Linked DNA regions of Schizosaccharomyces pombe. The protein of the gene in region 1 interacts with the protein of each later gene in a pairwise test. Each region holds a gene or a part of one and is shown on either strand. Other genes may lie near its edges.

Region 1 (3,159 bases):
AAGAAGAAGCTACCGTAATGACCGAAATAATTGGAGAGAACGCACACACAATGATCGCTATCGGCATCGAGATAAATATGACTCTGGTTATTTCAAGAAACATTACGATGATGATATGCGCTTTGATCAGGGTCATTTTCAAGATGAAAGAGACCTAAAAAAATATGTGCGAACAAGCAGACAATATTCTCGTTCACCATCTCCGGATTTCAGGACTCGAAATCACCAATTTCATTCTCGAGACTCGCAACCTATCACTCAAAGGCATACCGATATAGAAAGCCGTTTACAGAAAATGCAAGACAATGCTAAGGAATTAGATGAGTCACGAAGAAAAAAAATTGAACTATTGGAAAAGAAAGAAAGAGATGAAGAACAGTTTTTGGAAAAAGAGAGACGCGATACCGCAAGAAAATGGGATAACCAAGGAGATTTTATCAGAAATATGAGAAAAGAGATCTACTCTGGTGATTCTGTAAGCTTGGCAGATCGTGTGAATAGTAGCCGACATAACATGTTAAGGCCGTAACGTGATTTCTATGTTTTTTCTAATATAACTTTGATGCATAACGATATAACATTTCTGAATAATGAGTGGAAATGACGGTGGTAAACAGTTGAACATATCAGTTTAGGGTTCATTAAATAAATAGCTTAACATCCAAATGCATTGCATGATAGACGGTAATATTTTTTAATAATACATGAATTCTTAAAATTAACCATTGTTATCAACCAGAATAGTCGTGATCTTCGTTAATTACTTGTACCCGTTCAGGAACATTTTCAGCTTCGCTTTCGCGATAGGTCGGCGATCCGATTACATATCTCTCATTAAATCCATCGCATGATGTCTTTGGTTGATTCATTTTCTCATTTAATTGATTGTGTACTTTGCAAGCCCACGTAGTTGCTGCTTTTCGAGAACTTGTTTGTGGAGGATGTACATCTAGTATCTTTTGGAGTTCCACAGAGTATTCACCACATGGCATTGTAATAGCGGAAGAAAATAGATAATGTCTTAAGATATCTCGCTCATCTAATGTTGGTCTGTTTGGATAATTGGAAACAACCGTATGAATTAACTTCCAGTATGCATTTACCATTAAATTATTCGTGTTATTATCGTGCTTCGTGGACATCATCTCAATTGGTTTTCTACCTTGACCTTCTCGATCCGGAAGCGATTTAATTTCAGGCATAAACAGACGCCAATCTTTGTCTACCATAACACTGTGAAAGATCCATATAATAAACGATAAGATTAGTAGGGTAGGGAGAATCACCTGAATTCTTCTATTAAGGATCATGTTTTATAGTATTTAGCTACTTCGTTTTCCCCGTAAGAACACCTTCATCTACCAAATTAATTGTAAAGGAGAACTGCAAGGACAGAAACTCACGCGGCTTTTTTGATCTGATATGCGGCATCGCTATGTTGCAATAACGAGAAGGAATTGATGGTAAACAAAACTAACCTCCTGGGTTATACAGAGCGAGTGCATCGTTATATCTAATGCTAATTAACAGAAAAACTTTTAAAGTAGTAAGATGGAACAGGCTGCTGGATGATCCAATGCATTACCAAATTGATTTAGATAAATGTATTGCCAACCCTTTAATTTTTTTTTTAGATATTAAATATCTTTTATATCAATTCTATATGCTTTTTATTTTAAGACTCAGAAGAGTTTTAATTATAAGTATAGTTAATAGTTAATAAATATGTAGTTTAGTGATAGAGATATAACCAAATAACAACAAAAAAATTAACTAAAGTATCATTATTATAAAGTCCATTGCTAGGTTTTATCACTATAAAATTTTTTTTAAGTTTGGAATTATTTACTAAAAAAAAGAAACTTAACGTAAATAAATAAAAACTAAGAGGACTTGTTAGTTTTTGTTTAAAAAATAAATAAATAAATAAAGAAGGAAGAGTTTAGCTAAGTTATCAAGTGAGCATAGATAGCATATAATAATCTATGTTTACAGATTTAAATGTTTTAAAGATAAATTACTTGCAATTGCTTGAAGATATGAATTTGCGTTTGATTAGTTTAAATCAAAATGTAAGAATTTTGGGTTAAATTAACATATGGCAAAAGGCTTGTCAAGTTTAAAGCTAAAAAAATACAAAACAATAGTGAATTTGAAAAGTTGTTCTAAAAAACTTGGACAAATCGTTTCCTTGCATTAACATTTCATTTAAAGAGCTAATCTATTTATATTACTTACTGATTATTCTTTATTCGTGGTTATTTCACACATAGGGCTACCCAAACAAGGTAAATTTTTGCGTCGTCTTGCTAGATTTAATGAAGGAATACAGAACAAAAAATCTTTGAGCTTTATATTTATTGTGTGAATTGAAAGAGGATGTTTGCTTGTGCTAGTAAAAACTTAGAAACAGCAATGTATTCTGCTCGTCCTTTTAATATTTTGCTAGTGTAAAGTGTCAGAGCAATATTCTCTTTTACTTAATTTTCGTTTTGAGTTAACTTTCAACGTCCAAGAATACCAAATTGACTAGCATAATAATTTAATGTATAATAGACACATGAGTTTATAATTACAGGTAAAAAGATGTTTGAAGTCTTCCTTTAAATCAGGTGTGTAGGTATAAAATAAATAGATCATTTTCATCTAACATGACCTGTTTACACAATTATACTTCAGTCTTTAGTTTATAAACATGGGCTTTAGTGTAATTTAACTGTGGGTTTTTGTATATTTTATTCATTAATTGACTTCATCGTTGGGTGAAATGCTGTTCAACCGTTGTAAACAACACACCTCTTTTCACGACCACCCACTCTTTTAGAATTTTAAGTAATATATAATTTGTTGAAGATACTATCTTTATGTCTGACAAGGGCATCTTTCGAACGTCTTCAACACCCTCGATTGTGGATGTTACGCCAGATCGTGGTGAAAGGCCACGAAAGTTGGTTCGCTCAGTGCTAGAATCTCCTTCTCAGAAAGATGTCGCATCAATTGTCAAGATAGAGCAAACACCATCTCGCCCATTTTTCAATGACTTTTTAAAAAAAAGAATTACCGATTCTTTAAACGAACGCCCTAATTTGCTCAACAAATTTATGTCTGCTCAAGATGGCACTCCATCTAAATCAACAGGTTTCAATGAACGGAGTTCAC
Region 2 (5,928 bases), on another chromosome or scaffold:
GAAGGTTGAGAACCGAAGGAAAATATTTGCTCGAGAAAGTAATTTTGAACTACTAGTTACTATGAAGAAATAACTATATTCCAAAATGACAATGCAATGTAATTGCTTTGTAGTTGGCTAAGCCTTTAGATGTATATATATTAGACGCTTAGATTCTGGACTAGTTTAATTAATGCTGTTACGTTGTGGCGTTATAGTGTCATCGTTAGTCGTTGAATAGTTCTTATAGTGAAATTGGGTATAATATTCGAAAAAAAATTAGCAAACTCGCTATTTTATGCTATTTATTAATTCTTTCTGTTCTTACTGTGAAAGATATTTCTTATATTCCACTTACGTTTGAACTGAGGCTCTTGCTGTATTTTAACTTACGGCTTGCAGTATCAATATAACTATTGCTACTAGAAATTACCTTTAGTCTACGTATTCCATTGAAGCTCTCCGAACGCATCATCTATAGGAAGTTTATTTCTTTTGGAACGGCAAATTTGCCAACTTCTTGTCTGTGAACATATTTTTGTGATTGTATTCTTTCTTCTCAATTCCTTTATTTCATGCTAAGTTGAGCTATTTGATTTCATTTTAGAGCATATACCGGTACATAACTTATTAAATTCTGATTCCATAACAGGAGTGGAATTGATTTACTAATTCTCGGAGTACATTTATTGTAAATTTGAGCATCTCTATTATTTTGGCTTATTTTAGTTAATTATTGACTGTAAACCAACAACATGACTACATTACTGGAAACACCTGGATATAGTGAAAAACTTCATGATTCGATTGAAAAAAAACTTTCTGAATATGGGTGGGGAGAAGAGGCTGCTTCTCTGGCCGATTTTGTTCTTGTGATGCTTAGCAATGGAAAAACACAAACTGAAATTAATGAAGAACTAGTTGATTTAATAGGGTCCGATTTTGATACTAGCTTCTCACTTTGGTTATTTAATCAAATTGAAGAGCTTGAAAAATCAAAAAATGCTTCAGTTGAGTCAGTCAGCAAGATCGACGAAATCGATTTTATCGAGAAGGAGTCAACTGACAAGTCGCAGCAATCTTTCTCTGTGCCGGAAACTAGCATACAACCTCAATCTTCTCAAACTCCTAATATAACTTCGTTACGTGAAGAGAAGGAGCTACCTACTGGGCGTGTCGGACAAAAGCTCAAACTTACATCTCAGAAACAGCGATTCAATCCCATGGCAGCTTCGTTTAACTACTCGAAATCCGTTATGCCTGCTGCCAAGCGTGCTCTCACTCAAACCCAAGAGGTCCCTTTGTGCAAATATGCCGATAAGTGCTCCCGTGCTAACGTATGTATTAATATCAGATAATTTGTTAAAACTAACTCTTTAGTGTATATTTGCTCATCCGACACCAGCCGCAGCCCCAGGAGAAGGTATGGTCCTGAGCAGTGAAATGTGTGCTTCTGGTAAAGAATGCAAAGCTGCTGATGTAAGTACCATAATAATTTAAATCTAACTATTACTAACGTATACAGTGTGTCAAGGGACATCCATCTCCAGCTACGGTTACTACATTACCACCTTTCATGTCCATGTCAACCATTCCAATTCCTTGTAAATATAAACCGTGTTTGAATCCAGCTTGTCGTTTTATCCACCCGACGAAAAGCAGAAATATGACATGGCGGCCACCCTCTAAAACAGAAGAGACGTCCCTGAGTGAACGTTCGTTTGCTGTTAACGAGTCAGAAGAACAACTTCATGTTCCTTCTGTGTAAATTTAGAGAATTATGATACTATTTCGTGTTCGTATAATTGGCACATATCTACTTTTGATAGTCAAGCCAGGATACTTCGTTTAAGAACATACCTTCTAGAGTTTGCAAACTTGATATTTATTTTATTGTATAGATTGCTAAAACGATAAAGTTTTATTTGTCGCTACGTTTGCTGCAATCGGCAATTATCAAGTCGCTAAATTGATTTAAAAAATTTGTTTTCGTTATATTGATGTCTTTTTAGTGAATGAAAATTTTATTTTGATGTGAATTATGCAAATAATGATTTATTTACTTCTTCGGTTAAGTTAATATTATACATATTCAAATACCCACGTTTGTTGACATTCATTACTAAATACATCTTATGTTACTTGTTGGTTACTTGGCTTACACCATGTTGTTGACAACAATCACTTGGTATTTACATTCGCCAGTTTTACGTCTATACACATACCCTTTAGTTAAAAGGTTTTTTTTAATTGAATGGAGGTCCCTTCTTATTTTGACCCCGATTATGATCCTTCGTCTCTTCGAGTAGTAGATTTGCGTAATATATTAACTGAATATCAAATATACTATCCGTCAACGGCGAAGAAAGCGCAGTTAATCACGCTTTTCAGTAAACTACGAAGGGCAAAAAATGGCTTGATCTCTATGACAGAATTGCAGCAAAAGAACGTTCCTCCGTCTTCTCGTAGTCCTCGTAGAAGGGTGGCAGGGGTTACGAATAATGTTACTGCTCGAATTAGCTCTAAGAGAAAAATAAATATGGTTGACGAGGCTAATGATACAGAAATTTCTAAAACTTCACAATTTGAAGATAATGTGATGGGGATGTTACAGGACGAGAACGTTCAAGTTTTGAATACTAACACGATAACCATTTCAGAAGAATCTGAATTTCATGCCTCAAAGATTGCCAAAATAGATTCGCGAAACGAAGAAATAACACATATACCATTTGAGACGCAAACTGAGCTTAATGCGGCAGTTGTAAACCTCGACAACTCAATGGAATCGTCTTTTTCAATTGTCCAGAATTTAACAAACAAGGATTCTTCTGTAGACACCGCTACTTACGATTTTTCTGCAGAAGTTGGTAATATCGTAACACCTGCTTCAAAGTTTTTAGACTATGATCAAAGCTATCTTGTTAATGCCTCCGTGTCGGGTGATCCAACGCCAGTAAAGGTATTGAACACGACGTCTCCAAAAAGCGAAAATCCATTGAACCAAAGTTCTTTTCTCAGTTTCTTAGGCGAAAACCTAAAGCCTAAGTTTACCTCCCGTTCGTCAAGCGTTTACGCTTCTCCTATCAAGTCGTCGTTGAATTCGCTTGAATGTAATCCAAGTAACCTTCTTTCAGTCAGAAAAAATTTTCAACAAAGTTCCGACTCTTATCTCAAATCAAACAAGTCATTTGACCAACTCAACAATTTGGTTGGCTTGTCTACTGGTAATTCGGAGAACTTCACTCCAGAAAATAACAGTTTTTCATGGACTCATCCCAAAAAGAATTCATCATCACCCCTTCCTCAATCTCAATCTTCCTCAATTTTTGTAGAACACCTAAATCAGCTGTACGAAGCAAATGCATCAATTCATCGTCCTGTCAACCCTGCGTTTTCTACAAATTTTGGGTTAGAAGCATCTAATACATCGACGCCAGAGAAGAAAAAATTTGATTCCCAAAAACCCGACGATGATTCGGTTAATGAGATTTCTTCTGATCTCGGTCTTAGTACTACGGGTATTGATCGCGTGGAGGAAAATATTTCCTTGACTAAGGATAGGCAACCTAAAAGGCCATACTTTAGTCTTGGTTCATTCATTTCTTTAATTTTCTCTTTTACCAAAGTGGTAAATTCCTTATGGCTTGTATTGCTTGTCGTACCTCTCTTGGGATTTGTAGGCTTTTGGCATCAAGAAGTACAGCGCGTTGGCTTCTGTGGAGTTCCTGCCGAACCTTATCCTTCTAGTCTATATTATCTCCAACCAGGAGTTTTACGTTCCTCTATTGAGTCTGCATATTCATTTGCTCACTCTTTAGGAATTGAAGCCTCTTGTCAACCTTGTCCTGAGAACGCTGAATGTGGTTTCAATCGTCAGTTATTTTGCAAAGAAGGATTAAAGGCTTCGTTTCCTTTACTTGCAGATTTCGGCTTAAAACCATACCCACGATGTATTCCGAATACCGTGAAGGTTAATAAGGTTGAAGAGATGGTGCAGGCATTTATGTCTATTATCGGAAAGTGGTACTATAAAGCCCCTAAAGAATTTGCCACTTTTGAAAGTGCAAAGAATTTAAACGGAAAATCATTTGTTGACAATTTTAAGGATCGATATTACATGTATAAGCAGGACATCGATAATGTAGTCGGACTTAAAGATTTTAAAGTATATCTGAAGACTACTTTAAACCGTCTATATAATTCAAAGCTGACAAGAAAAGTACTATATTACTTATTTTCTCCACTATTTACTCTTGAGCTATGGAAGCTCCGAGTACGTGGGGCATTGAGTAAATTTCCGACTAATTGTTTGCGATCTGTCTACTCTCATACAGTTTCCTTAATGAAGTATTTGACTTCAGCAGTTATATCCTGTTGGCGAATTTACTTGTTGATTGGTATATTGGCAGCTATTACCGGTACCGTTGTATGGCGAATAAGAGTCTATGCCAAGAAGCATGTAGTAAAGCATGGAGTCTCCGTATGCGTTTCACATTGTATTGCTAAGCTACAAAAAACCAAGCTAAAGTCCTTGACAGATTTTTCTGTCAATCCTCGTGTAGAAGTCGTGCAGCTACGTTCTGACTGTTTTGTATCTGGAGTCGCAGATGACAAGGGCCTTTTTGAACTTGTACATCTCCCTTTGTCAATTCAATTAGAAATATGGGAAAAGGTGGTTTCAGTCCTTGAAGGAATGGTAAGCGTAAAGGTATGGGACAGTGAGCGCTTGGCAAAAAATCGTGCTTGGGAATGGATCGGGGTTTTTTCAGATGACATTGCCTTATAAAATACGGTTAGATATATAAAAAATGACCTTAAGGTCAAACTTTATGAATGTCGTTTGGCATGATGATTTATGAATCTAGATACGAGTGCAGCATCAGTAGGTACTATTATGTCAACATTATTTTCCTCACGTTAATATAATTATTTTTTAGTTATTGCACTTTGTTAAGCACAGGAGCTTATAGATTGAAACACTATCGAAAAATTTAATCAACAGATTCGAAAATTTCATTAATTTAACATTGGTTTTTCTAATTAAAAAAAGAATATCAAATTTAGACCCGAACCGTTTGCATTAGCTGTCTAAAAGAGCATTTCAAATTAGCATTTGGCATCCGGCCTCAATGAAAATAAAGAGTTCCATGTGACAGTTCTTATTTTGAAGGGTTCTGGCATGTTTGTAAAAATTCAATGCCTCGACGGTATTGAACGGTACAGTCTAAAACAGGTCTAATACACTTTTAGAGTTCTAGGACTAAAAATGAACGATAAACAAGGGCCATAAAATGCTCCAAATCAAACAAAAGCCAAACTCGCAAATTGAATTATCTTTATTGCAATATAACTCTAAATACGCAGAAATATGAAATTTATAGAATATGAAATTAAAATAGAATCTGGGAAACTCAACAAAGAAATAATTAACACGTTTAGTATAAGATAAAATAGTAAAGACAAATAAGAAAGATTAATGCAATGCACTTGCTACGAGATTTCGTAAAGCTTTACAAAGTAGTTCAACATCGCCAGAGTAACGACCGGAAGCATAGAAAAACTTTTCGTCCGAATAAACCCAGTGAGCAGTTTTGGGCCCTGGTACGTATTTCGATTCAGGAATATAAGTATAAGTATAAGCCGGAGGATTAGATGCGCCAAATAAATAAGACGCTCTTTCCATATAAAGTGGAGTCGTAGTCGATTTAATCTCAAGATTGGGAGCAGCCCGCTGAACAGCGATTGCTCCTTGAGCCATTGTTGCTAAAACGCGGGTGCCACTAACACGGGCACATAAAGGTATATAGTCAGCTAACAATGAACTGAGACGAGGAGACTCTACAAGTTCTAAAACAGCGGGATCCTGCCCTCCTGGCACATAAACCAAGTCAAAGTTTTCAAAGGTAAAGCTCATATCAGACATATTTGAAGGACTTAAAAATTCTT

Evidence for each region.
Region 2: the proteins of erv2 (region 1) and man1 interact in a two-hybrid assay, tested with the Schizosaccharomyces pombe proteins (2 studies listed by BioGRID).

The regions. Positions count from the first base shown.
Region 1 is NC_003423.3:1,006,169-1,009,327, reverse strand, and holds erv2 (sulfhydryl oxidase), read right to left. Parts: upstream 1,375-3,159; 5' UTR 1,311-1,374; coding exon 732-1,310; 3' UTR 618-731; downstream 1-617. Other genes in the region: protein Cwf25, read left to right, coding at 1-529; cut3 (condensin complex SMC subunit Smc4), read left to right, coding at 2,865-3,159. UniProt on the Schizosaccharomyces pombe protein: FAD-dependent sulfhydryl oxidase that catalyzes disulfide bond formation in the endoplasmic reticulum lumen.
Region 2 is NC_003424.3:5,234,624-5,240,551, reverse strand, and holds man1 (LEM domain-containing protein Man1), read left to right. Parts: upstream 1-2,173; 5' UTR 2,174-2,233; coding exon 2,234-4,768; 3' UTR 4,769-5,396; downstream 5,397-5,928. Other genes in the region: poly(A)-binding protein Nab2, read left to right, coding at 735-1,316, 1,360-1,458, 1,505-1,747; SPOM_SPAC14C4.04 (uncharacterized protein), read right to left, coding at 5,456-5,928. UniProt on the Schizosaccharomyces pombe protein: Required for correct meiotic chromosome segregation.